Tamandua tetradactyla: one gene and its partner. The main gene of each other region encodes a partner of the protein of the gene in region 2 in a complex. Links are inferred from orthologs where the notes say so. Each region holds a gene or a part of one and is shown on either strand. Other genes may lie near its edges.

Region 1 (15,931 bases), on a different chromosome or scaffold from region 2:
GTTCAATTCCCAGTGCCTGCCCATGTTAAAATATATATATATATATATATATATATTATATATATACACACTTTGAAATTTATTGTTTTGTGGATGTTATTTTTCACAAAAAAAAGAAAAAAGAGGAGGCATATAATGAGTATGACTGGATCATTATATTGATATTTCTTTTGGTCTCTAGTATCTTGGAGCAGGCAGAAGAAAAAACAAAAAATCGTGGAACTGTAACCCATATCAAACTTTAAAATCTGTTCTGTAACTTCCTGTTAAAATGCACTTGGGAATTTATTGCTGTTTTGTATGTATATTTCAAAATTAAAAAAAAAACATTAAAAACAGAAAAGTGAAAAGGCTACCTAACTTAATGGGAGAAAATATTTGAAAACTACATATAAGAGTTTAATATCCAGAATAAATAAAGAAATCTACAACTCAGCAATAAAAAGATAATCCAATTGAAATTGGCAAAAGATTTAAGGAAATACAAATGGTTAAAAAGCACATGAAGATACTCAACATCACTATTTCAGAAATGCAAATCAAAACCACAATGAGATGATATTTCACACCTACTAGAATGGCCACTATTAAAAAACAGAACACTGTAAGCATTTGGAAAGGATGTGAAGAAATAGTATATTTATTCACTACTGTTGGGAATGTAAAATGGTGCAGCCACTGTGGAATACAGTTGGCAGGTCCTCAGCAAGCTATGTAAAAAACAGCCATATGATCTGGCAATCCTCCTACTAAGTGTATACCCAGAAAAACTAAAAACAGGGACACAAACAGACATTTGCACACCGATGTTCACAGTGGCATTATTCACAACTGTCAAAAGATGGAAGCAACCCAAGTGTTCATCACCCGAGGAATGGATAAGCAAACTGTGGTACATACATACGATGGAATATTATTCAGCAGTAAGAAGGAATGATGTCCTGATGCGTGTGACAACCTGGATGAATCTGGAAGACAGTATATTCAGTGAAATAAGCTAGACACAAAAGGGTAAATATTGCATGATCTCACTAATATGGTCTAAGTATAATAAGTAAATTCATTGTTAAAATCTAGAATATAGATTACCAGGAGATAGAATGGGGAGCTGATGCTTAATTTGTGCAGGATTTCTATTTAGGTTAATTGTAAATGTTTGGAAATGGATACAAGTGATGGCAGCATACTACTGTGAATATAATTAACAGTGCTGAATTATGTGTATGATGTGGATAAAAGGGGTAGTTTTAGACTGTGTATGTTACTAGAAGAAAAGCTAGAGGATTAAAACACAGAGCCATATAGCATAATAAGTCCTACAGTGAATGATGTCTGTGGTGAATAGTACAAGTACAATGTTCTGTCATAAATTACAACAAATATATATCACTATTATAAGATGTTAATAATAAGGTGGCATATGGGAAAAAAATACACCTAATTTAAATAATGGATGCTTAATAGTTATATTTATAATATGCCTCCCCTGAAATGCCAAGCTCCTGTCACTCTTCTCCGTGCATGTTTAAACTCTACTTTTAAAAGCAGCTGCACTCATCATGGTATATTGAATTAGATATTATATATTTTTTCCTGATGGAATATAAACTATCAAACCACTGAGCACAGTTTTCAGTAAACATTTGCTAAATTAAAATATTTACTGAGCACTTCCCAGTAAAATAATATTTACTGAGCACTCTTCTAAATGCTTTGCACTTATCTTCACAAAGACTTCACAAAGACTCTGTATGAGAGTATTATCATCTCTACTTTATAGAAAAGGAAACTGAAGCATAAGAAGAAGTAATATGCCCAAGGTCAGTGCCCAATATTAAAATATGAAACCCAGATTTTGTGTTCTAACCATTAGCCTTACTGTTTAAAAGTTTCAAAATCAAGATATGGAAAAAATTTCTCCGGAATGTTCTCACTTGCAACATGAAGCTGCAAGAAGCCACAAAGTAGCCTTATATCATCTAGCCCAGCAGATCTCAAAGTGTGGTCCACAAACAGCAGGGGATCAACAAGCCCCTTCAGGAGATCTACAAAGTTCAACGCAGTTGCATAATATCATTGAGATGTTATTTGGATTTTTCACTCTTATACTCCTATGTGTTGTACAGTAGAGTTTCCCAGAGGTTACATGATATGCGCTATCACAACAAACTGAACACAGAACCAGCTATATATCCAGCTGGTTTAATTAATATTAAGTCAAATATTAAAGAGATTTGTAAATATGCAAAACAATGCAACTCTCACTAAAATTGTTCGGAAAACAGTTCTTTTTCATAAATAATTACGTTCACATGTGAAAAAAAGAAAAACAACAAAATAAATATGTAATTACTGCTATTGTTTAATGAATTAAGTATTTAAAATTTTCAACATTTTACTAATCTGTTTTTTTAAATACATATATTTTTTGGGTAAAGAAGTTGTGCATTTACAGAAATATGCAAAAAAATACATAAAATACAGGGATCCCAATTACCACCCTATTATTAACACCCTGCATTAGTATGGTACCTTTGTTATAATTCATGAAAGAACACTTTCATAATTGTACTATTAACTACAGTCCACCATTTATAATAGGGTTCACTATGTTATACAGTCCTATGTTGTTTTTAATTTTTATTCTTGTAACATACATACAACGCAAAATTTCCCCTTTTAACCACATTCATATACATAATTCAATAGTGTTATTACATTCACAATGTTGTGCCACCGTCTCCATCATTCATTACCAAAATCAGTTCATTTTTAATACTGTCAATATTGATAGGTATAAGTTATTTAATCAGGCCTACGAAGAAAAGGTTTAAGAATCACTGATTTAGCCCATACAACACTCAGTACCACTGGATCACTGACAGAAAGACATTTTCCCCACCTAGCATGTTGCAATTCAAAAAAGCTGATGCAAATTGGCTGGAAATGCAAAATAAAGGGAAAAAAAAAAAGAGTACTTGGCCGGGTAATACATTTATGTGCTTCTCTCTGCCATAACATTATCTAATTTGTAATCAAAGACACTTGTGTGTAGCAAAATCTATTGTAAACCAGGAACATATTCTTAAAAGTGCCTCGGCATTTCAAGACAATAGTCAGATATAGGAACGAAAGAGCCTCCTCAAGTGAACTTCAGATTCAATCTGTATATTTCACCATTCCTTTATTAAACCAGGGATATTAATGAAAGATAAAAGATAAGAGTTTATACAAAGATTTCCAAGGCTGATGTGTCATCAATCTGAGGACTGAGGTGCTGAAACAATTCATTTTCATTATAGAGCATAGTACTTTAAATTTTCACTAAATTATATAGAGCAGTTTCTACAAACACATCTTCAATATCATCTGACATACTTCTACATGTTTACTAATAGCAAAAATAATAAATTTTAACAATGGTTTTAACAAAGCAAGACGAATTTTATTCAACTCGGAAAAAAAAAGCAAACTCCAGGTCAGTCTTATTTTTCTTAGAGAAAAAGTTAGGCATATGAGTTATTGTTGCTCCACTCCCTTCCCCAACTCCCCAGCATCTGGAATATCAATGCCTACAATCAAATGATGCAAGTACAAAATGTTACTGTATGCACTTCTCCCTCCACCCATGAAAAAAATTCAACAAATGATGCAGCAATAATGAGCTAGTCACATGCAAAAAGAATGAAATGTGAACCCCCACCACACAGCTACAAAAAAAAAGAAAAAAATATTATTGCATATTCCTTATTCCATAAGGAAAAAATACAGACAACACCTTCACCAGAGCAAATAATAATACAGGCTGCTAGTATTTTAATTGGCCTTGGTTACTTTTAAATTCAACCATCATTCAACAAATATTTCTGAGCACCTACTATGAGCCTGGCACTGTATCAGGCATTGGGGACACAATCAATAAGAAAGATAATAGTTTTTATCTTCATGAAATTTGCATTCTGCTATGGGAAATAGATTTAAAAATAAGATAAGTATAAGTGAGGTAAATGCCATTAAGGAAATAAACAAGGCTTTGCCGTAGATTAGTCTTTGGAAGCTGAAATGTGAAATCTAACAGACCTGATAATAAATAATTCTTAAGAGTTACATCAAGATGGCACGAATTCTATAGACCTTCCCTAATGCATAAGAAAATTGCAAACACTGCCCAAGAAAGGAAAGATCAATTTTTCATTGTCAAAGCTATTGGATGCACTATTTAGCTATACAGTAGCCTCAAAAGGTAGTTACTGTCACAATTAAGAGTAAAAAGCATATAAACCCAATTCCACCCCACCCCATCCCCAAACCAAAACAAGAGGAGACCAAGGAGATATAACTAAATGTAATGTGGTAGCTTGGATGGGATCCTGAGGGGAAAAAAAAAACAAGCGGTAAAAACTAAGAAAATGTGAATAAACTAGGGGCTTTAGTTAATAAAGTATCCATACTGGTTCTTTAATTTTAAATAATGTACCATCCTAGGAAAAGATGCTAATAACAGGGGAAACTGGGAGGTGGGGGTGGGAGGTATACCATCTGGGAACTCTCTGTACTAACTTCTCAATTTTTCTGTAAATCTCAAACTGTCCAAAAATTAAATCTAAGTAGGGTGGTGTGACAGTGGCTCAGTGGCAGAATTCTCACCTGCCATGCTGGAGACCCAGGTTTGTTTCCCAGTGCCTGCTCATGTTAAAAAAAAAAAAAGGAAAATTAAATCTAAGTAAAAACAAAAATAAAAAAATGACTCCAGGAATTACCTGAGGGGAGGGGAGGGGAGATGAGATTATCAAAGGTTTTAAGAAAATATAAATGAGAAGCCATGAAACTCTACAATGTGAATTAAAACATAAATACACTTAAATTCAGATCTCTACACATGCTAAAACCATCCTAGGAAAGAGATTAAAGAGTTTTTCATGCAAACTAAATAGATGCATCACAACACAAGGCAGGCAATAATATCCCTAAACTGAAAAATAAGCACTTAGATCCTATTTACCAATGTTGACCTACAGACTATTTTTCATGTACGGCACTGTCCTGATATTGCCATAAAATGCCTGGATCAGAATCAATTCCTTATGTTCTACCAAGTTACTCATCTTAAAAAAAAACTTAAGGCGTACTTCAAGAAAATCTATAAGCAAAGAGTAGGCTTTATTTTTCCTTGGCAAGGGGAAAAAGATCTATGTATGAAAGAGAAAAATGATTGTTCAGGTGCAAGTGGAAGTAATTTTGCAGCTAATACTAGCCTACCTTAATGTCATATAAATTAGTTTAAATAGTTCACAGTATTAGTTAATAAAAGCTCTGAATTTGTATTGGTTCCTGCCTTCTAGGCAAAATAATGTTTTCTCTAATATAACCTAAGTCACCTAGTAGATACCCAATGTTTGATGATTTGGGAGGAACTTCTCACTCAAATTTGAATTTTAATGATGGTCATGAACAGTGTGAGAAAAACAAAAGAGGGTAATAATCTCTAAACAAATTTGCATACTGCAGATAGGAAATTTGTATTCGAAACATTTGCATAACAGCATAAAATTGGAATTACTAGAAGAAATAATTTTAGAGACAACCTTCACAAAATTAGGATCTCTTCTAATACAAACTACAGCAAGAGCAGAACTTTGATCAGGTTAAATGACATTAGTTTCATTCACCAAATACTATGGAACATTAGGCATAAAAGTCATTTACCCAAAGTATAACAAATTTAATTTAGATAACTCCCTAACGCTCCCCACCCCCAAGGAAATCCTACAAAACAAAGATATTCCTTATTCTCAAACCTCTCGAAGAAATCCTAAATATATGACTGGAAAACATACAAGAAGAAATGAATAATTAACATTTCCCCAGTCATTCCTGTATGCACCACCATGAGAAAAATAAGAGAGCGCTTCATGTTGAAACGAGAAAAAGGGGAGATTGAATGTGAAAAATTCCAAGTAAAACGATCATGACATAGCATCTGGCAGAGATCGGAAAAGCATCAACATTGCCAAAAGAATCGTCAGTGATTCAAGTCAAGAGAAGAAAATGAGGTTTTTTCCGACAAGCCAGAACCCAACTCAAGGAGCAAAAGCCTCCACGCCCGCCGCCATCCCTCACGCAGACCACCCAATTCACAAAACGCTTCCAATTCAGACATAATTCCGCTATAATACAGATTAATTCTACACCACGGTAAAAAGCATCCAAGAATTTTCTACCATCACCATTTCCCACCTTCCATAAAGATCCTCAATTCCCAAGCCAATCCCCAGGGGAAAACAACGCCCAGATACCACCCTCCTTGCCGAAGTCTGAGAAGGGCCTGTTCCCAGGAGCGGGGCTTCCAGGGGTGGCCATCACAGAGGCGACGAGCCCGGCAGAGTGCAAGGAATAGGGGTGGGGCTCAAGAAAAAGGGCTGGGGTAAGGGAGACGGAGACCAGAGGAAGAAAGAGATGGACAGGAGGCAGAGGCTGGGCGGGGTAAGGCCTGGGAAGGGCAGATCGGTAGGTGAGGGCAGGCCTGTGAAGAACCAGACAGCAGAGTCGGGGTCAGAAGGGCCAAAGGAGAAGAGTAAAATCGATCGACAGATCAAGGGACGGAGAAGCCAGGGAGAAGAGGGGTTGGCGAAGACAGGGAAGGGCCGGGGGGATGGAACAGAGCATGAATGCGAGGCCGGCAAGAAGCCTCCGCGGACTGAAGGACCGCACTGGGGGCGGCGACGGGAAGCCGCCGCAAGGTGCCAAGAGTGGGGGGAGCCGCGCACTCACCGCTTTGCTCCCCCAGGAACACTAGCTTGAATTTCCTCAGCGGATTTCCGAAGTCTCCGCCCGCGGACATGATGGAGCCGGAGGAGCTGCCGCCGCCTCAGCCCAGAGACCTTCCGGACCGACGATGCTCCAACCGGCTGAGGAAAAAAGCGAGAGGAAGGGCAGGCGCCCAGCTCTCTTGGCCCCTGCAGGGCCCGGCGGATGAGAAAGGTTGGAGGGCAGGACTCCCCACAGACAGGCAGCCGTCGCCGCCGCCGCCTCCCAGCAGAGTCGCCTAGCACCAAGCGAGGCCCGTGGCTCGGAAGGGAAGGAGGGCGGGTGTCGAAGCAACCAAGGGTGTACTCGAGGTTTCCAGGGCTAACTTCCTTCCCTTCTTCAGTACCTGGCACGGAAAGTGGGGTCAGAGAAAAGAAGAATGGCAAAACCAGAGCCTCAGACGCGTCTGGGATCTCTCCCACACAGCGCCTCAACTCCCTCAGCTGTCGCCGCCGCAGCCCAACCTGCTAAGTGCGCGAGCCTGTGGCGCGGCGCGGAAGAAGCCCGGGCGCGAGCCTGCCGCCCGGCGCCCGCCGACGTGCGTGCGTGAGTGCGTGCGCGTGCGCGCCACGACCATCGCCTTCCTGGTTTAGCCAGCTCTCCCGGTTTCCGGCGCCGCGGAGACTAGGGCAAGTTAAGTTTCCAGCACGTCGGGAGGAGCTAGGAGGGGCAGGACGGAGCCAAAGGAAAAGGAAAGGGTGAAATATGGAGTGCTTACGTCACGCTCGTAGTGAGCCAATCGGAAGAGGCCAAGGACCGACAGGGACGAGAATGAGGTGGCGGTGCGAGAACGCGCGCGGCCTTCGCGCTGTGAAAAGAGGCGCGCAGTGGCGGCCATGCAGAGTGTGGCGGGTCTGTCCCTAAGAGTTGAGAAGTAGGGGGTAGAGGCGGGGCCCGAACGGAAGTAGGGATTACCCCAGAGATGTACGGGTGGGGTCGGAGAGCACTAAAGTGTAGGCTGTGTTCGTCTTTCCTCTGTTCCCATCCCTGCCTTACATTCCTCGTGTCAACCTTTCACCCATGTATGTATCCACCCACTTTCTCCATCTTCTTACTCATCATAATTCCTCACATTGGCACTTAACTAGGTACATTCTCTATTGGTGCTGCAAGGAGTTTCATAACTGCCAGAAACAAGGCCTCCACGATTTGCAAATGAAGAAACTGAAGTCCAGAGAGAGGAAATGGCTTGCAAAATCCGCACAGCCGGAAAGTAGAACCCAGGTTTTCTCATTTTCTCCCATTGTATCTGTGTGGTGTCTTTATTGATAAGCCAGCGCACTTTCTTGGCCGCACTTTCTTGGCCTAACGGGTCGATCTATCGTCCTCAGATGCTGATAACTTGAACATTACACTCCACCGTGCTAGAGGAGTTTAAGTATCATGTAAACCAAATCCTTCATTTCACAGATGGTGAAATTGAGACCCATATAGAATAACGCCTTTGCGGAGAGACACACAACAAATTAGAGGCAGAGCTTGCGAAGTAGGTATTTTAAAGCTCTTCCTTTCCCCCTAAGCAGGGCTTCTGAATCACCGTAAGTGGACCTCCCTTAAATTAGCCATTGAAAGCATGTACATTTTTCGGTAGAGAGAATCCATAGCTTTCACCTGGATTTGTGATCTAAAAAACAAAGAATGTTACCGCCAAGAAGAGCCCAAGGAGACATGATGACTAAATGTAATGTGGAATCCTGGATGGGATACTGGAACAGAAAAAGGACATTAGATAAAAACGAAGGGAATCTGAATAAAGTATGGATTTTAGTTAATAGCAATGTATCAGTATTAACTCATGGTAACAAATAGACCATATTAATGTAAGATGCTAAAAATAGGGGAAATTGTATAGTGCGTATGGTATACAGGAACTCTATGATGTGTTCAATTTTTCTGTAAATCTGAAACTGTTCTAAATAAAGTCTGTTAATAAAAGATAAATAAAAGGCTAAGAATCTCGGAATTAGAGAATTTGGCATCCACACAACTTCCTCCAAATGTCATCACACTGTGGTGATAGAGTATGAAAGAGTAATCCCTGTGTTTTGAAGAGGTTACTTTTAAAAACTGGTATCAAAAATATTTCTCAAGTTAATAATAAATCCTTACATGTGCGTATAGTGTCTTACCATTCGCAAAATACATTTATATATATATTTTCTCATTATTCCAGGGTTATTACTTACTTAGCTATAGAAATGGCAGTATCAAAGAAGTTCCTTTTCAAGCCCAGGGATGAATTGCTGACCTAGAATAAATCAAGGGAAGGAAACTGTGCCAGTTTGGAACTGTTGTGTACCCCAGAAAAGTCATGTTCTTTAATCTTGATTCAATATTGTTGGATGGGATCTTTTGATTAAGTTCTTTACATGGAGGTGTGGCCCACCCACTTGTGGGTGGGACCTGTTGATTAAGTGGTTTCAATAGATGTGTGGTCACCAATTCGAGGTGAAGTCACTTACTGAAATCCTTTAAGAGGGTACCGTTTTGAAAAAAGCTCCAGAGCCAGCACAGACATTTGGAGATATAGAAAGAAAACACCCCCAGAGAAGCCGTTTGAAACCACAAGGAAAAGAATCAGCAGACAATACCAGGTATCTTCCCAGCTGTCAGTGAAAGCTTGAACATCTTCGGCCCTTTCCTGAGTCATGGTTTCTTTATCTGGATGCCTTCGTTTGGACATTTTTATGGCCTTAAAACTATAAACTTGTAACTTAATAAATTTCCTTTTTAAAAGCCGTTCCATTTCTGGTATATTGCATCCCAGCAGATTTAACAAACTAATACAGAACAGAAATTTTCAGAATATATCTAGAATACAGCTATATCCACAAGCCTCCTTTTCTGTCAAAATTTATTCACTTCTTACTGTTCTCTCCATTAAATGGCAAAAGAATTTGTGCAAATGTATTTTGAATGGAATGATAAAAACAGTCAGAATTGAACATTTGATTTTTTTTTTAAATTGCCCTTAAAAGTAGTTACTGGCTGGTGTTTATGGCAGCAGTGTTAGTGATTTACAACGGATGGAAGTGGCCTAAGGGTATGATATCTGAGGAATGGAAGGGGAACTGTGGTTTACACATACAATGGACTACTGAGTGGCTGCAAGAAGGAATGAAGCTGTGAGGCATACAACTATGTGAATGAACCTAAGGACCTTATGTTCAAATGTCAGAAACAAGAAGACAAATATTAGCATGCCTCACTCATGTGGACTAACTATATTATAAAAATGTGGTGAACTGAAGTTGAGAGCAGAGGTTACCAGATTGGAATTGTAAAGGATCCTAGATTTTAAGCTCTTTCAGCAGTCACATATATACAACTCCTGAATTGTAACTGTTATTTCTAAAATCTGATCTACTGAGCTATTTGTATATAACATGATTGTTCCCAGAAACTTCGGGTATTTATGTAACACCTGAGACTCAGAGTGCGAGCTCTGAAGCTATGAAAATCAGCAGCACCCCATTAAGGTACTGTTTTAAAAGTTGAAAAGGGGATCTAGCTTTGAATAGAAATATGAATGAAGCTGATCTGTATAGAACTGGGGTAGATCAGAATACAGGATAAAGAATAATATCGTCCATGTTTTAAAACTTCAACTTCTGTGTGAGACCAAAGGGAGAGATGTTAATTTGGTGCAGAATTTATATTTTGGGCAGCACATTATCTAATTTAACTAGTATTATCAGTTTAGTTGAACATCATAAGTACAGGGAATCTTGAATAAGCCATGAGATATTTTTGATTTTTCCAGATTAATGTGATGCTTGGATATATCCCAGAGTAATTTACGCAGTGAATAAAGAAGTATTTGCAAAATCCTCTTAGGGGGACTGAGGAGAAAGGAGGATATATTCTATATTCAGCCTCACCATCTGGAGAATTTCTGATATTCTCACAAGCAGTGGAGACAACCAAATCAATAGGCCAAGCCCTTAATCTTGGAATTTGTCTGTATGAAAATCATTCCTGCAAAGGATAGCTTAAGCCTACTTAAAATTATGCTTAGGAGGGTGGGCCATGGTGGCTCAACAGGCAGAGTTCTCTCCTGTCATGCTGGAGACCCGGGTTCGATTCCTGGTGCCTGCCCATGCAAAAAAAAGAAAAAAGAAGCACTTCCTGGAAGATGGCGGCTTAGTAAGACGCGCGGATCTTAGTTTCTTCTCCAGGACACCTACTAGAGGAGTAGAAACGATACAGAAAGCGCCGAAAGCCACAACAGAGATAAAAAAGACAGCGTACCCCATCCTGGAACGGCTGGCTGGCTGAGAGAAGCAGCTCGGGTGAGATCGCCGAGGCACGCGGGCCTTACCGGGTGGGGTGGCAAGCGGCCGGAGTTACTCCCTTCCCCCTTCCCGGGCCGGCTGGGAGAATTGGAGAGGCGGTCCCCTGAAACCAAGGCGGCTGGCGCCCACACCACACGCAGCCCCCCGGACCAACTGAGAGAACTGGATCGGAAACCCCCAGGCCGCGGAGAACGGTGACGGGTGGGGGAGGCCCCTTCCAAACCTGTGACTCCCGGGGAACGTGCACTCTCTCGGGCGGGCCGCTGCCGCTGGCGCCCTCCCGCCACGCTTGTTGCCCAGGGCCGACTAGGAAATTCGGACGGGCTCTTTCCCTGGCTGCGGCGACCAGCAACCCTCCCTGCGTTCGGACCCCGGGCTGGCTCAAGCCGCTTCGGCTAGCAAACCCCCAGGACGGCGAGAGTTTTCCAAAGTTTAAGGTCCCACAGCACCTTTTACTGGTAGGACCCGCAGACAAACGTGTGCCACGTGCGCCACCTACTGAGCAGGATAAGAAAAACAGAACCCAGAGATTTCACAGAAAAATCTTCCAAACTTTTGGATCCAATACCCAGGGAAATCTGTCTAAATGCACAGACGCCAACAGAAGATAACGGATCACGCTCAAATAATTGAAAATATGGCCCAGTCAAAGGAACAAACCAATAGTTCAAATGAGATACAGGAGCTGAGACAACTAATGCTAAATATACGAACAGAAATGGAAAACCTCTTCAAAAACGAAATCGATAAATTGAGGGAGGACATGAAGAAGACATGGGCTGAACATAAAGAAGAAATAGAAAAACTGAAAAAGCAAATCACAGAACTTATGGAAGTGAAGGACAAAGTAGAAAAGATAGAAAAAACAATGGATACCTACAATGATAGATTCAAAGAGACAGAAGATAGAATTAGTGATTTGGAGGATGGAACATCTGAATTCCAAAAAGAAACAGAAACTATCGGGAAAAGAATGGAAAAATTTGAACAGGGTATCAGGGAACTCAAGGACAATATGAACCGCACAAATATACGTGTTGTGGGTGTCCCAGAAGGAGAAGAGAAGGGAAAAGGAGGAGAAAAACTAATGGAAGAAATTTTCACTGAAAATTTCCCAACTCTTATGAAAGACCTAAAATTACAGATCCAAGAAGTGCAGCGCACCCCAAAGAGATTAGACCCAAATAGGCGTTCTCCAAGACACTTACTAGTTAGAATGTCAGAGGTCAAAGAGAAAGAGAGGATCTTGAAAGCAGCAAGAGAAAAACAATCCATCACATACAAGGGAAACCCAATAAGACTATGTGTAGATTTCTCAGCAGAAACCATGGAGGCTAGAAGACAGTGGGATGATATATTTAAATTACTAAAAGAGAAAAACTGCCAACCAAGACTCCTATATCCAGCAAAATTGTCCTTCAAAAATGAGGGAGAAATTAAAACATTCTCAGACAAAAAGTCACTGAGAGAATTTGTGACCAAGAGACCAGCTCTGCAAGAAATACTAAAGGGAGCACTAGAGTCAGAACCAAAAAGACAGAAGAGAGAGGTATGGAGAAGAGTGTAGAAAGAAGGAAAGTCAGATATGATATATATATAATACAAAAGGCAAAATGGCAGAGGAAAATATTATCCAAACAGTAATAACACTAAATGTTAATGGACTGAATTCCCCAATCAAAAGACATAGATTGGCAGAATGGATTAAAAAACAGGATCCTTCTATATGCTGTCTACAGGAAACACATCTTAGACCCAAAGATAAACATAGGTTGAAAGTGAAAGGTTGGGAAAAGATATTTCATGCAAATAACAACCAGAAAATAGCAGGAGTGGCTATACTAATATCCAACAAGTTAGACTTCAAATGTAAAACAGTTAAAAGAGACAAAGAAGGACACTATATACTAATAAAAGGAACAATTAAACAAGAAGACATAACAATCATAAATATTTATGCACCGAACCAGAATCCCCCAAAATACGTGAGGAATACACTGCAAACACTGAAAAGGGAAATAGACACAAATACCATAATAGTTGGAGACTTCAATTCCCCACTCTCATCAATGGACAGATCATCTAGACAGAGGATCAATAAAGAAATAGAGAATCTGAATATTACCATAAATGAGCTAGACTTAACAGACATTTATAGGACATTACATCCCACAACAGCAGGATACACCTTTTTCTCAAGTGCTCATGGATCATTCTCAAAGATAGACCATATGCTGGGTCACAAAGCAAGTCTTAACAAATTTAAAAAGATTGAAATCTTACACAACACTTTCTCGGACCATAAAGGAATGATGTTGGAAATCAATAATAGGCAGAATGCCAGAAAATTCACAAATACCTGGAGGCTCAACAACACACTCTTAAACAACGAGTGGGTCAAAGAAGAAATTGCAAGAGAAATTAGTAAATACCTCGAGGCAAATGAAAATGAAAACACAACATATCAACACTTATGGGATGCAGCAAAGGCAGTGCTAAGAGGGAAATTTATTGCCCTAAATGCCTATATCAGAAAAGAAGAAAAGGCAAAAATGCAGGAATTAACTGTTCAATTGGAAGAACTGGAGAAAGAACAGCAAACTAATCCCAAAGCAAGCAAAAGGAAAGAAATAACAAAGATCAGAGCAGAAATAAATGAAATTGAAAATATGAAAACAGTAGAGAAAATCAATAAGACCAGAAGTTGGTTCTATGAGAAAATCAATAAGATTGATGGGCCCCTATCAAGATTGACAAAAAGAAGAAGAGAGAGGATGCAAATAAATAAGATCAGAAATGGAAGAGGAGACATAACTACTGACCTCACAGAAATAAAGGAGGTAATAACAGGATACTATGAACAACTTTATGCTAATAAATACAACAATTTAGAGGAAATGGACGGGTTCCTGGAAAGACATGAACAACCAACTTTGACTCAAGAAGACATAGATGACCTCAACAAACCAATCACAAGTAAAGAAATTGAATTAGTCATTCAAAAGCTTCCTAAAAAGAAAAGTCCAGGACCAGATGGCTTCACATGTGAATTCTACCAAACGTTCCAGAAAGAATTAGTACCAATTCTCTTCAAACTCTTCAAAAAAATCGAAGTGGAGGGAAAACTACCTAATTCATTCTATGAAGCCAACATCACCCTCATACCAAAACCAGGCAAAGATATTACAAAAAAAGAAAACTACAGACCAATCTCTCTAATGAATACAGATGCAAAAATCCTCAATAAAATTCTAGCAAATCGTATCCAACAACACATTAAAAGAATTATACATCATGACCAAGTAGGATTCATCCCAGGTGTGCAAGGATGGTTCAACATAAGAAAATCAATTAATGTAATACACCATATCAACAAATCAAAGCAGAAAAATCACATGATCATCTCAATTGATGCAGAGAAGGCATTCAACAAGATTCAACATCCTTTCCTATTGAAAACACTTCAAAAGATAGGAATACAAGGGAACTTCCTTAAAATGATAGAGGGAATATATGAAAAACCCACAGCTAATATCATCCTCAATGGGGAAAAATTGAAAACTTTCCCCCTAAGATCAGGAACAAGACAAGGATGTCCACTATCACCACTATTATTCAACATTGTGTTGGAGGTTCTAGCCAGAGCAATTAGACAAGAAAAAGAAATACAAGGCATCAAAATTGGAAAGGAAGAAGTAAAACTATCACTGTTTGCAGACGATATGATACTATACGTCGAAAACCCGGAAAAATCCACAACAAAACTACTAGAGCTAATAAATGAGTAGAGCAAAGTAGCAGGTTACAAGATCAACATTCAAAAATCTGTAGCATTTCTATACACTAGTAATGAACAAGCTGAGGGGAAAATCAAGAAACGAATCCCATTTACAATTGCAACTAAAAGAATAAAATACCTAGGAATAAATTTAACTAAAGAGACAAAAAACCTATATAAAGAAAACTACAAAAAACTGCTAAAAGAAATCACAGAAGACCTAAATAGATGGAAGGGCATACCGTGTTCATGGATTGGAAGACTAAATATAGTTAAGATGTCAATCCTACCTAAATTGATTTACAGATTCAATGCAATACCAATCAAAATCCCAACAACTTATTTTTCAGAAATAGAAAAACCAATCAGCAAATTTATCTGGAAGGGCAGGGTGCCCCGAATTGCTAAAAACATCTTGAGGAAAAAAAAACGAAGCTGGAGGTCTCGCAATGCCGGACTTTAAGGCATATTATGAAGCCACAGTGGTCAAAACAGCATGGTATTGGCATAAAGATAGATATATCGACCAATGGAATCGAATAGAGTGCTCAGATATAGACCCTCTCATCTATGGACATTTGATCTTTGATAAGGCAGTCAAGCCAACTCACCTGGGACAGAGCAGTCTCTTCAATAAATGGTGCCTAGAGAACTGGATATCCATATGCAAAAGAATGAAAGAAGACCCATCTCTCACACCCTATACAAAAGTTAACTCAAAATGGATCAAAGATCTAAACATTATGTCTAAGACCATAAAACAGATAGAGGAAAATGTTGGGAGACATCTTATGGATCTTACAACTGGAGGCGGTTTTATGGACCTTAAACCTAAAGCAAGAGCACTGAAGAAGGAAATAAATAAATGGGAACTCCTCAAAATTAAACACTTTTGTGCATCAAAGAACTTCATCAAGAAAGTAGAAAGACAGCCTTCACAATGGGAGACAATATTTGGAAATGATATATCAGATAAAGGTCTAGTATCCAGAATTTATAAAGAGATTGTTCATCTCAACAACAAAAAGACAGCCAACCCAATTACAAAATG
Region 2 (15,931 bases):
ATGCAGGGCTGAATATTTTCCCCTCATTAGAGGATTATGTGAAAGTTGTGTATACTAAATGATGAGCCTACTCCATACCTTTGACCCCTGGTCCTGATTTCAGCACTTAAGCTGCAAACTGCCAGGTGAATACTCCCTACTTTCAAGAAAAGACTGAAAAGTAAAAAGTCGATGACATTTCTCAGAAAGCTCAAATGGAGAACTCAAAAGAAAACATAAATTCTAGGAACATTCCTGTAAGATCAGAGTCTGTAGACTGACTCATTCAACCTTAATAATAATCAACCCCGTCTCCCCTGTTGGCCTCTTCTGAAGATGTTACAGAGGTTCAAACAAAAAAACTCAGATTTTAGAAGAAAAACAAAAAATCGTGGAACTGTAGCCCACAGCAAACTTTAAAATGTTCTGTAACTACTAGTTAAAATGTACTTGGAAATTTATTGCTTTTTTGTAAATATGTTTCACAAATAAAAAAAGTTTAAAAAAAAAAAACCCTGATTTTCCTGGTTCACTCATAGCCAAGGGTACCTATATGATACTAAACTGGGAGAAAGCCCTTTTCACATTTTCTTCTTTTGCATAATTTTTCTAAAAGGAACTCAATCCTTTGGCCAGAACTGGAGCAGACGTCTTATGTCCAAGAATGTTAAAGTTGGTGGTATGGAAAGATGGAAATAGCCTGTACCTGTTAATGTCCCTGAGCCACATATCATTCCTCAACTGTCTATTCCTGAAGTTCCTTTTCTGTTACACGAACACATTTTTTTTTAAGTCACTGAGGTAAGAGTTCTTTTATTTGTGGTGGAATACATTCCTGATACAAGGGCCAACATCTAATAGGAGATTCCAAAAGCAAGAACAAAGAGAATGGCTGGAATCAAACTATAAAAGATATTTACAAGAACTGAAGGATAAAGGCCTGTAGATTGCCCAGAGTCTTAAGCACAAAGGCAAAGAAAACTCATCCACTGAAAGCATGTCATTGTAAAATTTTTAAAACATAAAAGCTTCAAGAAGGAAAAAGCAAATCACAAGTAAAGGAAAAGAAGTAATAGAGACATTAGACTATTTAATAGCAACACCGGAAATGGAGCAATGCATTCAAAATTCAGAGGTAGATTGCAATAAAAAGTGATGCAGAAAAGTCCCTTTGGGGAAATGGTGAGAAAGGGGGAAAATTCAACTTCCCCAAGTGGAGAATTCTTGATATTCTCACAAGCAGTGGGGACAACCAAAGCAATAGGCTGAGCCCCCAATCTTTGGTTTGTTCATATGAAACTTAACCCAGCAAAGGATAGGCTAAGCCTACTTAAAATTAGGCCTAAGAATTACCCCCAAGAGAACCTCTTTTGTCGCTTAAATGTGGTCTCTCAGCCAACACAAGCGAACTCACTGCCCTCCCCCCTCTACGTGGGACATGACTCCCAGGGGTGTGGACCTTCCTGGCAACGTGGGACAGAAATCCTAGAATGAGTTGGGACTCAGCACCAAGGGACTGAGAAAACCTTCTCGACCGAAAGGGGGAAGAGCAAAATGAGACAAAATAAAGTGTCAATGGCTGAGAGATTCCAAACAGAGTCAAGAGGTTATCCTGGAGGTTAAATAGACAGCACCTTTTTAGTTAAGGTGTAACAGAGAGGCTAGAGGGAAGTGCCTGAAACTGTATAGCTGTGTTCCAGTAGCCATGTTTGTTGAAGATGACTGTATAATGAGATAGCTTTTGCAATATGACTATGTGATTGTGAAAACCTTGCGTCTGATGCTTCTTTTATCTATCTACCTATGGACAGATGAGTAAAACATATGAATTAAAAATAAATAAATAATAGGGGTAACAAATGTTAAAATAAATTTAGTAGATTGAAATGCCAATGATCAATGAAAGGGAGGGGTAAGGGGTATGGTATGTATGAATTTCTTTCTGCTGTTTCTTTATTTCGTTTTCTGAACTGATGCAAATGTTCTAAGAAATCATGATGATGAATATGCAACTATGTGATGATATTATGAATTACTGATTATATATGTAGAATGCTTGTGTGTGTATGTTGGTACATTTAATAAAAAAAAAAAAAAAGTGATGCAGAGGGAAAAATGTCCCTCTCTTTGAGCTGGCTGTTTTAATATCCATTCATAACAGGAGAACTGCAGTAGCCCATCATGTGTCACATGTATAGACAATCTAAAGGCTAAGGATGAAAGAGCACAAAAATGGAAAGAATCTGGGTCCTGATGACACCCCTATGAGACTGAACCAGCCCTAGAATTACCTACCTTTGAACTTACGTAAAAGTAAACAAATAAACAAAACCCAACATTTTCTAAGAAAATAAAAATAAAAGGGGTAGAAAACTTCATCCATTTCAAGTTATAGCTATCAAATGTAATCATAAAGGCATTTTTAAACACAGGACACAAAAATTAACTTCTTCCACATCCTTAGGAATGCTACAGAGGAATGTTATGCCAAAATAAGATAGTTAACCAAGAGAGTGACTTAGCTATCAGGAAGGCCAATATAGGACAGTAGTTTCAAAATTTACTGGATCATGAAAAGGCAGTCCTAGGAGAACTATTTAGCAAATGCACAGAACAGACCAAATTAGTGGAGGAGGACAGAAGGCTTCAGAAGCCAGGTATCCAGGTAAAAATGTAAGAGATACACTATTTTATACGCTTGGCCATTCGGAAAGTAGGAGTGGTAATAAAAGATAACTAAATTTTCATCTGCCATAACAGGAATAGAAACTGTCTAAATGTCTAAAATTGATACATCAAGGAATGTTAATGTAAGTATATTAATTAGAAATACAGAAATAATTTCTGGAAGCTAAGATTATAAATTATCATTTAGTATTATTTTTAAATCATTTTTACTTTAGTTCAAGTGCATTTAGTGCATGTTTTTATTTTAGTTAAAATGAGTTTTAAATAAATTTTGTCACTGCAGGATAAACTTCAGACTGATAAATACCAGAGAAAGCCTAATTTAACTAATTTCAGAAGATATACAGAGGCCATTAACTGAAAACACCTATAAAATACCTTAAAGATTAGAAACACAAGGCGGACAATCTTTCTTAGGAAATTTAGTTTTGATTTCATCTTAGAGAAAATAACAAGAGTGACACAGTATAGATTCCAATGTGTAAGAAATTCCAATATTTTCACATAAATTTTCACCTTCCTCTCACATTAAGAAGCCCCAAAATTCATTGTAATACCATGCACCTCAAATTTTGATATGGGTAATATGGTTTCTTATTTATCTTATTTAAAAATAAAATTTTTCAGGTTTGCAATAAAACTTTAGATTGTATTTAAATGCACTATTAGATGACTATTAGAAATTTTAACTGTAATTAAAACTTTTAAAGTCATAAATTTTAAACATGTTATTTGAAGAACATAAAATTCTGTATTCAAATCTATTGTGGGTGTTTCCAGTGTACTTTCCCACCAAAGAGCTACAATTTCGCAAGAAATTCTTGTCAGTTTTTCAAAGATGAAGATAACTTATTGTATTGCAATATATGATTTTTCTAAAAATGAAAACTTATTTGTAGCAGCAGAATAGTTGATGAACACCTCTTCCACTTAGTCCCTTAAGTAATTTTATAGTAAAGGACTGGAAATCAAAGATTTTATTCTCATTTAATCCTTCCAAATGTTTACTTTCTGAGACTTATGCAGTCAGACACTTTACTAGTAATTCAGTAACCTGAAAGGAAAAGTTGATTAATTTGGAGAAATTTTCTTTTCTCATTTATAGGAGCAGTCTTGACAGAATGGGAGAATATATTGTTTAGTGATAAGGAGGAAATAGAGGATAAATATCTGGATGTCCTCATGAAATGAAATTGTCAAAAGTATTTCTTTCAAAACTACCTATTAAGGGCAAAATCAGAAAAGAATCTGTATTCAACGTCAAGACTGCTGGTAGTGTATGTGTGTGTGTGTGTGTGGTACGTATGCACGTATCTATGTGTGTGCATACATAAAATACCCCCCACACATATAATACATGGTAACAATAACAATCTTTGAGTACTTATATGACAAACCCAAAAGTGCTATACATGTATTAATTCATTTAATCCTCACAACAACCCTCAGGGAAGCAGATATTATTATTATCTCCACCTCACAGATGAAGGAGTTGAGTCACAGAGAAAACGTTAAGAAATTTAGCCAAGGTCACATAGCTGGTAAGCAGCAAAGCATGATTTTGAAGATTTAAATCAGGCAGTCTGGTTCTGAAGTTAGCATATTTAACCACCATATAGTTAGATTTTGGCTATTACAGATTAAGAAAATATAAATAATCAAATAAACACACTATGAATTCAGTAATACTTAAATGAATCAGTACATGAATCCAAACGGTATCTGTACATACCATTCAAACTACATGTATTGTTGTAACTAAATAAAATAGAAAATAATAAGGGAGGATAACCATATGGATTTAAAGACCCCATGTAGTAATTTCCTGGGAGTCCCTCAATGATCCTTTGCTCACAAGATGTCAGCCCCCTAATGAGAAAATAAGAAAATGTAATCAAAGGATAATTAATAAGACTCAAAATATAAATACTATGAAAGAGCAGGAAAATATTTATTTGACAGCTTTGAAAAACAAAAGGAAATTTAAGGAAGCTTTGGCTAGGTGGGGGAATCAAAAAACATCTTAGTCAGTATTAAGAGCATGGAAATAAGAATAAGCAATTCAGATTCTTAAACAGGGAATAATAAGATAAATACAGTAATCTGTATATTTAGTAACCAGGCAGGAGCATCTAAGACCAAAAAGAGAAACAAAGTCCGGAGAGGAGAGTATTAAAATAAGTCAAGCGTGACGTTTTTCAACATAGAGCCAAAGAAATGGAGAAAGAGGAAAAACTGGAGTAACATCCTGGTGACAGACACATGTAGAGGATAAAGAGGAAAGTCAAACTATTTCTAAAATAAAAAGACATGAAAAGGGTGGGCCGCGGTGGCTCAGCGGGCAAAGTGCTTGCCTGCTATGCCGGAGGACCTCGGTTCGATTCCCGGCCCCAGCCCATGTAACAAAAACGGAGAAACAAAATACAATAAAACAAGAAAGTGTTTAAAGATGTTTCCCTTTCTTCCTTCCTTCCTTCCTTCTATCCTTCCTTCCTTCTCTCTGTCTTTCCTTTAAAAAAAAAAAAAAAAAAAAAAAAAAAAAGACATGAAAAGCCGTGGTACCACTGACACAACAAGAGGAGGAGGGTGGGAGGACATTGAGATGGTTGTGGGGATTTGGTCATGTTGAGTTGGAGGGGAAGACATGAGAACCATGTGAAGATGCTTTTCCCCCTAAGCAGCTAGAAACATAACTGTGAAATTTGGGTGACTAGTCACACCAAGGGATATAGATTTAGAGATTATCAGCCCCAAAATAACCATCAAAACCTTGAGAGTGACTAGGTTTTTAGAGGGAGATGGAGAAGAGCAAGACAGACTTAAGTGCCAATCATAATTAGTGTGTGGGAGGAAGAGAAGAGAGAATACTCATTTATAGTAGGAAGGGACTTAAAGGTCATCGAACCCTCTCTTTCTACTATTAACCTGAGAGGTAAAAGCCTTAACCAAGACCAGAGAATAAGTGGTAGAACAGGGACTGGAAGGGAGGCAGCACTCTTGCAGGCTGACAACTTCCAAGGAAATTAAACTCTTGCTAGACATTTCCTCTAACTTAAAAAAAAAAAAATTAAAGCAATATTCACAACTTATTTTATTACCTTAATGATATCATCAGTTTCTCCAGCCACAGACTTTGATTTGAGTTCTTCAATTTCTTTCTCCAATTCTAAACAATTATTAAAAGAAAAAAAAATCCAGCTCAGAAATGAAGAAAATGATCACTGGCTAAAATGATAAGTATAGTCGGAAAAATAAAACCACTATAACTTAAAACCAATGTAAAAAGTGGATGCTTTGAGAAATTATTAACCTCACCCATAGAACAATATTCCTTTTTATGATGGAAAACTTCAAACATACAGAAAAGTAAAGAGAATAGAATGGTTACTCTTTATGCTCTCTGCAATTATGACATGCCTTGTTTCATCCAAAATGGTACTCATTTCCTCCTCCCTGCCCCTTTATTTACCCAGCCTGACAATTTAGAAGCAAATCCAAGACATCATATAATTTCACCTATAAATACTTCTTTTTGTATAATCTGAAAACAACAACTAATCTCATATTAAGCACAAATGTTCATCTGAGTATTTTATTAACTCAAGCCTGGGTCTGGACCCTTAGACAGCTTTCAAAATAAATCAACCACTTTATCATAAACTGATCCAACCTCCAACTCCCAAAAAATAATTTGATCTTTTCCTACTACAAAACAAGTTTTGGCTTTAGGATGAGCAGTTAGCATTCATAAATTATTGGGATATTAAATATTTATTTAATATATTAAGACATACTTAAAAATATTAAAAACGATATGAAAATATTTTTCCTTTTGAGATCAAAAGAAAAGGAAAATATAGGGACTCGATCAACTTCAGCCAATAAACATACTTCATGATTCCAGGAATGGAAATCTTTTATTTATTACTTTACTTGAGGCCTCATTTTATTTGTTAGAGTTCACAACCTTTATGTTTCTAACGTTTCAACTAACCGTTTAGAGAAAAAAACTTGACTTAGAAGAATCTAGAATCCACATACAGGAAAAAAAATGTTTAACTTCAACAAAATGTTTCCTCCCTGACTTTAATAACTCAAAGGTAACTGAAGTTTAGAGCTATGAGATGATAAAAACATCAAAGTCAAGATGGCTAGAATTTTCAGTAGTAACAGATTCCAGCACATCAACTAGGTTTGTGCTTGGAATCACTGTAAAACAAAACAAGTCAACATTCTATTAAAAAACTAATGTTCTAAACCATGAATACAGTTTGTGGTCAAAATTAGTACTTCCAACCAAATACCTGTACACTTTGATTTAGTTTTCTGTATTAGCATCATCTGCTTCTTGGCAAACTTGATGAGATCTTCCTTGGGCAATGCTTCCAGCTGAAAAATGTAGTGATGTTACCAATCTGGTATAAATCATGTTTCTACTAGTCCACAAAAAGGAAATACAATGTCCGCCTAAAAATAAAAAATTCTACACAATAAATCTTCCTGCCAACCAAACACCGTACTTTACTCCATAGTTCTTAAAATTAGCAAATACAATTTCAACTCAATAATTATTAAGCAACTACTATAAAATGTAAACAAATTATTGTAACAAATTACAAAACAAATTATTGATACTGTAAACAGTATCTTCTATAAAGATACTGTTGTCATAGGTTAAGAAACTTTGTGGGTTTTAATTTCTCTAATGGTAAAATCAGGGGGTTGGGACTAATGCTCCTTAAGGTTTTTTAGAGTTATAAATTATTTTATTCTATTCAAGGGTGAAAGAGGTCTTTGGCCACTTGAAAATTTAAGCATAGCTATGATATGAGATGAATTAAGTTACATTTAAGCTTTAACCAAAAATTAGGCCTTAATACTTGAAAAAACTTAGACCTGTGGGCTTAGTTTTCTCACCTGTAAAATGGGTATAACAATAGTATCTGTCACTTAAGCATCATTAAGGAAGCTTAAATGATTCCTTAAGCATCATTAAGGAAGCTTAAATGAAGTGACAGCATGCTCAGGAAAGTGCCTGAAACAGTGTCAAGTAAAAAACTTGGCTACTGTGCTTACCACTATTATCTTTTAGAAATACTGACTCCTTAACATTCTGTAGGGCCATACAAATCACCCAAATCAATGTTCTCTTCACACTTTAGGAACCGTTACCCAGAAAGATTAAGTAACTTGCCCAAAGCCACTGAAGGTACAGAGGCCAACCAGGTCTTCCCTGACTCCTTCCTAATGATACCGCTCTTTCCACTCATATAGAACCTCATAAGTCAGATTGATTTGTTTAATGTTTGAAAAACTGCAGGATCTCTCAGCAATCCTGACCCAGGGACAGGAAGTAAACACATAACCAACTCTTTTCCTACCAGGAAACTTAGCAAAAAGAAAAAGAAAGAAAGAAAGGTAAATAATTGCGTAAATTAAAATTGAGATCCTTCAGAAAAAACTATTTCTTTTAAGTAGGCCACACTCTCTGCCTATGCCAAAGTTTTCCAAGTTCATCATCCTTCCACTCTTCAGGGTGTTTGCTAGTCAAGTATTCTCTTTACCTTAGATTTCCCAGTTCCAGGGGGGGCGGGGGAAGCCACCCCATCTTGAACAGGATCCTGCAAAACAAAATCAAACCCAGGTGATTAGGATAACTCTATTCCTAACGCCAGAAGGAACGCGTGGAACCCTACAGGATAAACTCTTCTCGCGGAATCAAGCAAGGAGAAATCCTTTCCGCGAAAAAGAGCATTAGGGAGGAAGGGAGCGGCTGCGGCAAGCCGCACGCACTAGCACGGCCAGGGGACTGTAATCACAAGGGAAGTGTTTCGGGAAGGTGGAGATGGGCAGAGGCGCGGCGCGGGGCTTCGGGGCGCGGAGGGAGAGGATGCACGCTCCCCACCGGGGGCCACCTCCAACCCGAAATCACAGCCGCAGGGCAGGCGCGGCCACGCGCGGGGCCGGAGGGGGTCAGTCCCAGGCCCCCGCCCCGCGCGTCCCGCGCGCCCCTACGCCCCTCAAGGAATTACCTCCATCGCCAACCCCGCGGCGCCTCGCACCCCACCGCGCGCGCCGCCGCCGCCTCACTTCCGTCTGCAGCGGGGACGGCGGCGGCGCCGTCGGCTGCCGCCTCTGACGTAGCTGCAACTGCAGGTCAAAGGCCGCCTTCTGCCGGGGCCCGCGCAGCTCCCCGCGTTGCCATGGCCACGGGCCGCGCTGCCCGCCGCCGCGCCCCGGCCCCGCCCCCGGGCTCAGGCGCCCTGCTCCTGCTTCCTGGATCCGGGAGGCGGTTCCCGCGCGCCCCGCCCCGCGGCCCCTGGCGGCCGGGACGCTTCCGGCTGCGTGGGTGCCGACCCGGCTGGCCGGGCTTGGGCGGCGCCTCCGGATTTCTCTCAGCTGAGTCCCTGCGAGGTTGCCACTGCCTCCTTAGCGTCTGGTCCGCACTTAAAAAATGCGTCGGGCTCTAAGCTAGGGACGTAGACGGTATCCACCTGGGTGAGACATACTCGAAGGCTGAGGTAGCAGATCGGCCGAGGAGCCGTCGCTGAAACCCGGACGTTCACCTCCCAAACTGACATTTTATCCGTGGCTGCGGCGGCGGGGAGGAGGCAGAGTTGTGAAATGTGGGATCTGGTGTCACAAGCCGTGGCGGGTTTGAATCTTGCACTGCAGTTGATTAGCTGTGGAACTCTGGGCACATACCCCCTCGAGGCCTCGTTTTCCTATCTGTAGAAGTTGTAGGGTGGATGAGGATATTGAGTGAAATGGCAAATGGGGGCGCGGGACAGGTACCCCAGAGCTGTCTGCCAGTTACCTCGCTCTCTTTGGAAAGCCAGGCTGACAGCGGCTTGTGAGGGGTTCTCAGGATAGGCCACATGGGGTTTGGGCGCCCACCACGACTGAGAAGGTCTGGGTTGTGCAGTCTTCCCCAAAGTAAGCATTTCCTGGCTCTCTAGGGGCCTTGAGGAAGGAGGAAAACACGGTTTGTATAAAATGAGTGGTAGTTAATTATTATTAAATAGGGGAAAGTGTTATATAACCAATAGAGAAAGACCAAGCCTGTAGGCATTGAGGTGCCCCCCCCCAACATCTACTCTTCTCCTTTAATGGGTTGCACCCACGATGTTTAACAGGGATTGATGGTTCAGTGGTGGGTATATGACCTAAGCTTTACGATCAGTGAGATTTGGGATTCTGTTTAATACTTTGGTTTAGTGATACCATTTTCCCTTTCTCTGAATAGGATTGCAGCAGAATACAGGTCTCATTGCTGTTGGCAGACATTGCCGCGAAGATTCCTTTAATCTGGAATATTTACACAGCCTTTTTTTTTTATGATTTGACGTTTTGAAAACTATAGTTTTTCACACCTTTTTAAAATTTTAATTTTTCTATTGATATACAGTAAAATTTTCTTTTGGCATACAGTCTATGGATTTTAATAGATGTATACAGTCATGTAACCTCCAGCTCAGTCAGATCACAGAACGGTTCCATCTTCCCCAGTACTCCCTCATACTAATCCATTGTGGCCATAAATTCCTCCTAACCCTAATCCCTGGCAACCACTGATCTATACTTAGTCACTATGGTTTTGATTTTTCAACAGTGTCATGTAAATGGAAACACAGAGAATGTAACCTTATGAAACTGACTGCTTTCACTCAGCATATTGCCTTTAAGAGTCATCAAGTTTGTCAATAATCTATATGGATAAATCTCTATTAAGACAGATTGGTAAATCTAATCTGTTCTCAATATTAAAAATGAGTAATACTCCATTGTATGGATATACCATAGTTTTTTTTATCTATTCACCAATTACAGAACATATGGGTTGTTTCTAGTTTTGGGTGATTATGAATAGAGCTGTTGTAAACGTTCATATGTAAGTTTTTGGGTGAATGTAAATTTTCAGAACTTTAGTGTAAGTACCAAGGAGTGGGACTACTGGGTCTTTTACCATGTATAGTTTATCTTTTTAAGAAAATGCCAAACTGTTCATTCTAATCATTACCTGGGAAGCAGCTGAGAGGAGATAATCTCTTTGTGGGGACAGGCGCTTTCACTGAATTGCCTTAGTAAAGCATATGGGCCAGGAGGTGGTGAGGGAGGCAGTTACAAATCTTTCTGAGTTGATTTTTTAAAACTTTTTTATTGTACAATATAACATATATACAAAGCAAACAAAGAAAAAAGAAATAGTTTTCAAAGCACTCTTCAACAAGTAGTTACAGGATGGATTCCAGATTTTGTCATGGGCTGCCATACCATCTTCTCAGATTTTTCCTTCTAGTTGCTCCAGAATATAGGAGGCTAGAATGCATAAATATTTTTTTAATCATCTCAATCGACTTTTTTTCTTTTTTGTAAAAAATAATATATATACAAAAACAATAAATTTCAAAGCACAGCACCACAATTAGTTGTAGAACATGTTTCAAAGTTTGAATGGGTTATAATTCCACAATTTTAGGTTTTTACTTCTAGCTGATCTAAGATACTGGAGACTAAACTGAGTTGATTTTTATGGAGGCTGTTTCAACACTCAGCAATACCAAATACCTGTGGTTAACAGAGTGTATGCAAGGTCCATTGAATACCTTGAATATCAAGCCATTGTTGAATAGTTTTTGTGGAAAAAAAGGTATACAGATGTCAGACTGCAAACTGTCCAGGAAACCAAACACATGGCACATATTAGTTTCTGTGACCTCGGTTGGCTGGCTGTTCTGAAACAGCACCACCTTGACCTGAAAAAGTGTCAGCAGTGATGAGGTACTACCCATAGCCAGAGGGAGGAGGTGATCAAAGTTCCAGTGCGCTTTTAGCCTGCCAACTTAGAACCAGATCAACTTTCAGCAGGAAGTCACCAATCTGGTGTACAGCAGTAGCCTCTGCAGGAGAAGGCAGTCCTTCACTTTGTGCCTTGTCTTTGATGGTGAATGAGTTTTCATGTCTATATCATCATATAGATATTATTTATATCATATCATATAGTAGCAATTTGAACAGTACAGACTCCATCAGCAGCTTCCATTCAGTCTCAGTAGAGAACAGGTCCTTAACCATGGACATCTACATGAGAGCCTCAGAAAGTTCGATCAGCAACTGTAATTTGTTGCCACGGCTCATGGCCTTAGGATGGGTGTCTTCAATCTGCCAGTCTAGTTTTTTTCCAAGTGGCAGATCAAACAGGGTATTGGCAACAGCCCAAGAGTCAGTATACTTATGAGAAGATCCGTCAGAGAGGATTGGGCAGAACTGAGAACTGCCTTGAGTTCTGTCCACTGAGTAGAGGTGACCACATCCATTTTCAGTTTTGCATAGCTGGCATTGAGATTTAACAGCTGCTGTAGTCCAGTGGAAATAATCTTGTTTCAGTTTAGCAAAACCATCAATGAACCAGGCTCAGAATTTAGGAGAGTCTGGGTGAATTAACAGCTCCATCAAGCCAGTGGCTTTGCTTCATATGGTTGAGTAAAGTTTTCCGTTGAGAGCTGCCACTTTGTCATGTAAAGCAGGATGTCTGTGGAGCCAGGCCAGCTGCGTTGTTGAATATTCCATTTTCATTTGACAGGCAAAGCTGTTTTTTGGCCCCTCTCACATCATTAGTCATAGTCTCAGTTAAGCCACCCCCAAATAGGGTTATCAGGCCAGATTTCACAGGCCTACATGGGTCAGGCATTCAGTTTCAATAAGAACTCTTCAGGAAGCTAATAGTTGCTTTTCAAAAGGACTCTGCCTGTAGCCATACCTGGGTGACAGTGACTCTAAAACCCCAAGGATATTTTCAGGTAGAGCCTTCCTGAGAGGCTTCATCAGAGGCTCTAATCATCGAAATTATCAGTCACAGAGACTTTTAGCTCAAAACAGTTATTAATGGTGGAGCCCCAAAAGTAATGAGCATGCCAGAACTTGCTGTATAGCTTCCAATCCATCTAATTTGCACCCACTTAAAGGATACCAATTTGAGGAGAGGTATGAATATTGCCTTAGTACAACAATCACTCCTAGAATATTTTTATACCTTTTTTTTTTTTTAACCTTGACCTGATAATTCAAATATGTCAATGAAACCTCATAAATACTGACTGGACTGCCTGCACTGTAAAGCTATTAGCATGTCATCCCTATTCTTTTTTCAACTCCTCTAAGCTCCCCAATCCCTTCAAATTTTGTTCCTCATAACTGAGAATAGATAACATCATCTCTCAGTAAATTTTTAATAAAAGAAGGCTGCTGTCCTTCCTACTTAGCTTCCCTGACTCATTACTTCTGAGATGAGAGGAAAAAAAAATAAATGCTTTGATTTTGTGAACCTCCCTTATGGTGCACTGACAGGCTTACACAGTGAGGTTAGTGTCTGATAGTAAGCTAAGGACTAAATTAGGTAGGGAATTTAAGAATTTGAAAGCAAGAAGAGCTTGAATGTGATTATAATATGTGAATATATGTGTATATATTTCTATGTATGTATGTATGTGTGTATATATATATATAATGTATATGTGTGTGGGGGTATTAAGGCCTGGTAATAACTCTAAATCCTTAAGTGTGCACTGTTTTTAGTAGTCCATATTACTTTATTCTAATGATATGCAAAGTAGTTCCAGACTAAAGAGAAACTTGTATATATTCCTATTTCGATTAATAACTTGAAAGAAAATCCCTTGCAATAAAATAGCAAGTTAAATAGATATACTATGCTCATTCCAGTCCTGTAAAAGTTTCTCAGGGACTCATAGTCAGAAGTAGTTACATTCTAGGATTGCAACTGCATGAACAGCTACATAATACTTGAAGTTCTTGCAGTAGAATTGTTTTTCTCACACTTCAGATACAAGGAACCTTTCTTTTCTTCCTTGTGGTTTTCTTACCCTCACCCCATCTTCTGTTGCCTTGGTTTTAGTAACACTATCCATGCCCATCTGACAGGAGGGGAGAGTTGCAGTGGCAGGTAGAGCAGCATGGGGACTCCCAGGGAGACAAGGGTCAGTGCACACTTAAGAGCTTCTCTAGGCTGCCCCACAACTGCCCTACACGTTTCCAATTCACCACCTTTCTGGTTGTCGGGCAGAAAATGTATTCTTTAGACAGTGGAGGCAGGCATAATGTCCTTGACCATCTGAGAGCCTCTGTTGTTCCTCTTAAGTCTTTTATTTCCTGATTTCATTAGCAAGCACTGAAATCCCTTAAACATATTTAATGTCTTTCCTACTTTCTTTGATTAATACTCTTAAATAAACTACAGGATATTTATGAATTACTCATTGACACTCTGAGGTTTCCTGATATTCTGGAAACTATAGCAAAGGCCATATTTAGATTTTTAGAAACATCGTCTTTACATTTCATGTGTTCTGAACTGCAGATCAGTTCATATCCTTGAAATTAACTTAATGAGCCTGATCATGACCTGTTTCATGAATACATTTCTTTCCAATTATAAACATAAAAGGTTCATTGTAGGACATCTGGAAAATACAGAGAAAAGCTGATTTTTTTTCTGTTTCCACACTAGCAAGTTTTAAGTCAGGATACTCAATCACTGGCTATTTAGAGTTTCAGTTAAAGTTCTTAACATAAACATGGAAAAAGTACATTACCCATTGTACTGATGTGGGTCAAAGCAATATTATGTCTTTTTTTTTTTTTCATCGGAAGGCACTGGGTATTGAACCTGGGTCTCTGGCATGGCAGCCAAGAACTCTGCCTGCTGAGCCACAGTGGCCCACCCATTTGTGGCTTTTTTTTAAAAAAAAATTTTTTTTTTTATTAATCAAAAAAAAGAAAAGAAATTAACACAACATTTAGAAATCATTCCATTCTACACATGCACTCAATAATTCTTAGTATCATCACATAGATGTATGATCATCATTTCTTAGTACATTTGCATCGATTTAGGAAAAGAACTAGCAAAACAGCAGAAAAAGATATAGAGAAGAGAATTAAAATAATAATACTAATAAAAAATATACATATATATAAAGGAAAAAGAAAAAAAACAAAAACAAAAGATACAAACAAACAAACAAAAAACTATATTTCAGGTGCAGCTTCATTCAGTGTTCCAACATAGTTACATTACACTTAGGTATTATTGTGCTGTCCATTTTTGAGTTTTTGTATCTAGTCCTGTTGCACAGTCTGTATCCCTTCAGCTCCAATTACCCATTATCTTACCCTGTTTCTAACTCCTGCTGGTCTCTGTTACCAATGATATATTCCAAGCTGATTCTCGATGTTGGTTCACATCAGTGGGACCATACAGTATTTGTCCTTTAGTTCTTGGCTAGACTCACTCAGCATAATGTTCTCCAGGTCCATCCATGTTACTACATGCTTCATAAGTTTAGTCTATCTTAAAGCTGCACAATATTCCATCGTAGGTATACGCCACAGTTCGTTTAACCACTCGTCCGCTGATGGACATTTTGGCTGTTTCCATCTCTTTGCAACTGCAGATAATGCTGCTATAAAGACTGGTGTGCAAATGTCCGTCTGTGTCTTTGCCCTTAAGTCCTTTGAGTAGATACCCAGCAATGGTATTGCTGGGTCGTAATCCATTCTGCCATTCTATGTCTTTTGATTGGGAAATTCAGTCCATTAACTTTTAGTGTTATTACTGTTTGGATAATATTTTCCTCTACCATTTTGGCTTTTGTATTATATATATCATATCTGATTTTCCTTCTTTCTACACTTTACTCCATACCTCTCTCTTCTGTCTTTTCGTATCTGACTCTAGTGCTCCCTTTAGTATTTCTTGCAGAGCTGGTCTCTTGGTCACAAATTCTCTCAGTGACTTTTTGTCTATAAATGTTTTAATTTCTCCTTCATTTTTGAAGGACAATTTTGCTGGATATAGAAGTCTTGGTTGGCAGTTTTTCTCTTTTAGTAATTTAAATATATCATCCCACTGTCTTCTAGCTTCCATGGTTTCTGCTGAGAAATCTACACATAGTCATATTGGGTTTCCCTTGTATGTGACAGATTGTTTTTCTCTTGCTGCTTTCAAGATCCTCTCTTTCTCTTTGACCTCTGACATTCTAACTAGTAAGTGTCTTGGAGAATGCCTATTTGGGTCTATTCTCTTTGGGGTGCGCTGCACTTCTTGGATCTGTAAATTTAGGTCTTTCATAAGAGTTGGGAAATTTTCAGTGATAATTTCTTCCATTAGTTTTTCTCCTTTTCCCTTCTCTTCTCCTTCTGGGACACCCACAACACGTATATTTGTGCGCTTCATATTGTCATT

Evidence for each region.
Region 1: the proteins of GCC2 (region 2) and RAB6A are in contact, whole or in part, in a crystal structure (PDB 3BBP), measured with the Homo sapiens proteins. The link is inferred for Tamandua tetradactyla from reciprocal best matches to the Homo sapiens genes GCC2 and RAB6A. Residues at the interface, in NP_852118.2 of Homo sapiens: Thr1585, Ile1588, Leu1589, Glu1591, Gln1592, Leu1595, Leu1596, Glu1599, Arg1602; in NP_942599.1 of Homo sapiens: Lys15, Ile46, Gly47, Ile48, Trp67, Arg74, Phe75, Ser77, Leu78, Ser81, Tyr82, Asp85.

What each region holds. Positions count from the first base shown.
Region 1 is NC_135334.1:72,218,394-72,234,324, reverse strand, and holds the start of RAB6A (ras-related protein Rab-6A), read right to left. Parts: upstream 7,333-15,931; 5' UTR 6,842-7,332; coding exon 6,772-6,841; intron 1-6,771. UniProt on the Homo sapiens protein: The small GTPases Rab are key regulators of intracellular membrane trafficking, from the formation of transport vesicles to their fusion with membranes.
Region 2 is NC_135343.1:73,137,451-73,153,381, reverse strand, and holds the start of GCC2 (GRIP and coiled-coil domain-containing protein 2), read right to left. Parts: upstream 8,795-15,931; 5' UTR 8,706-8,794; coding exon 8,700-8,705; intron 8,289-8,699; coding exon 8,232-8,288; intron 7,057-8,231; coding exon 6,972-7,056; intron 5,834-6,971; coding exon 5,766-5,833; intron 1-5,765. UniProt on the Homo sapiens protein: Golgin which probably tethers transport vesicles to the trans-Golgi network (TGN) and regulates vesicular transport between the endosomes and the Golgi.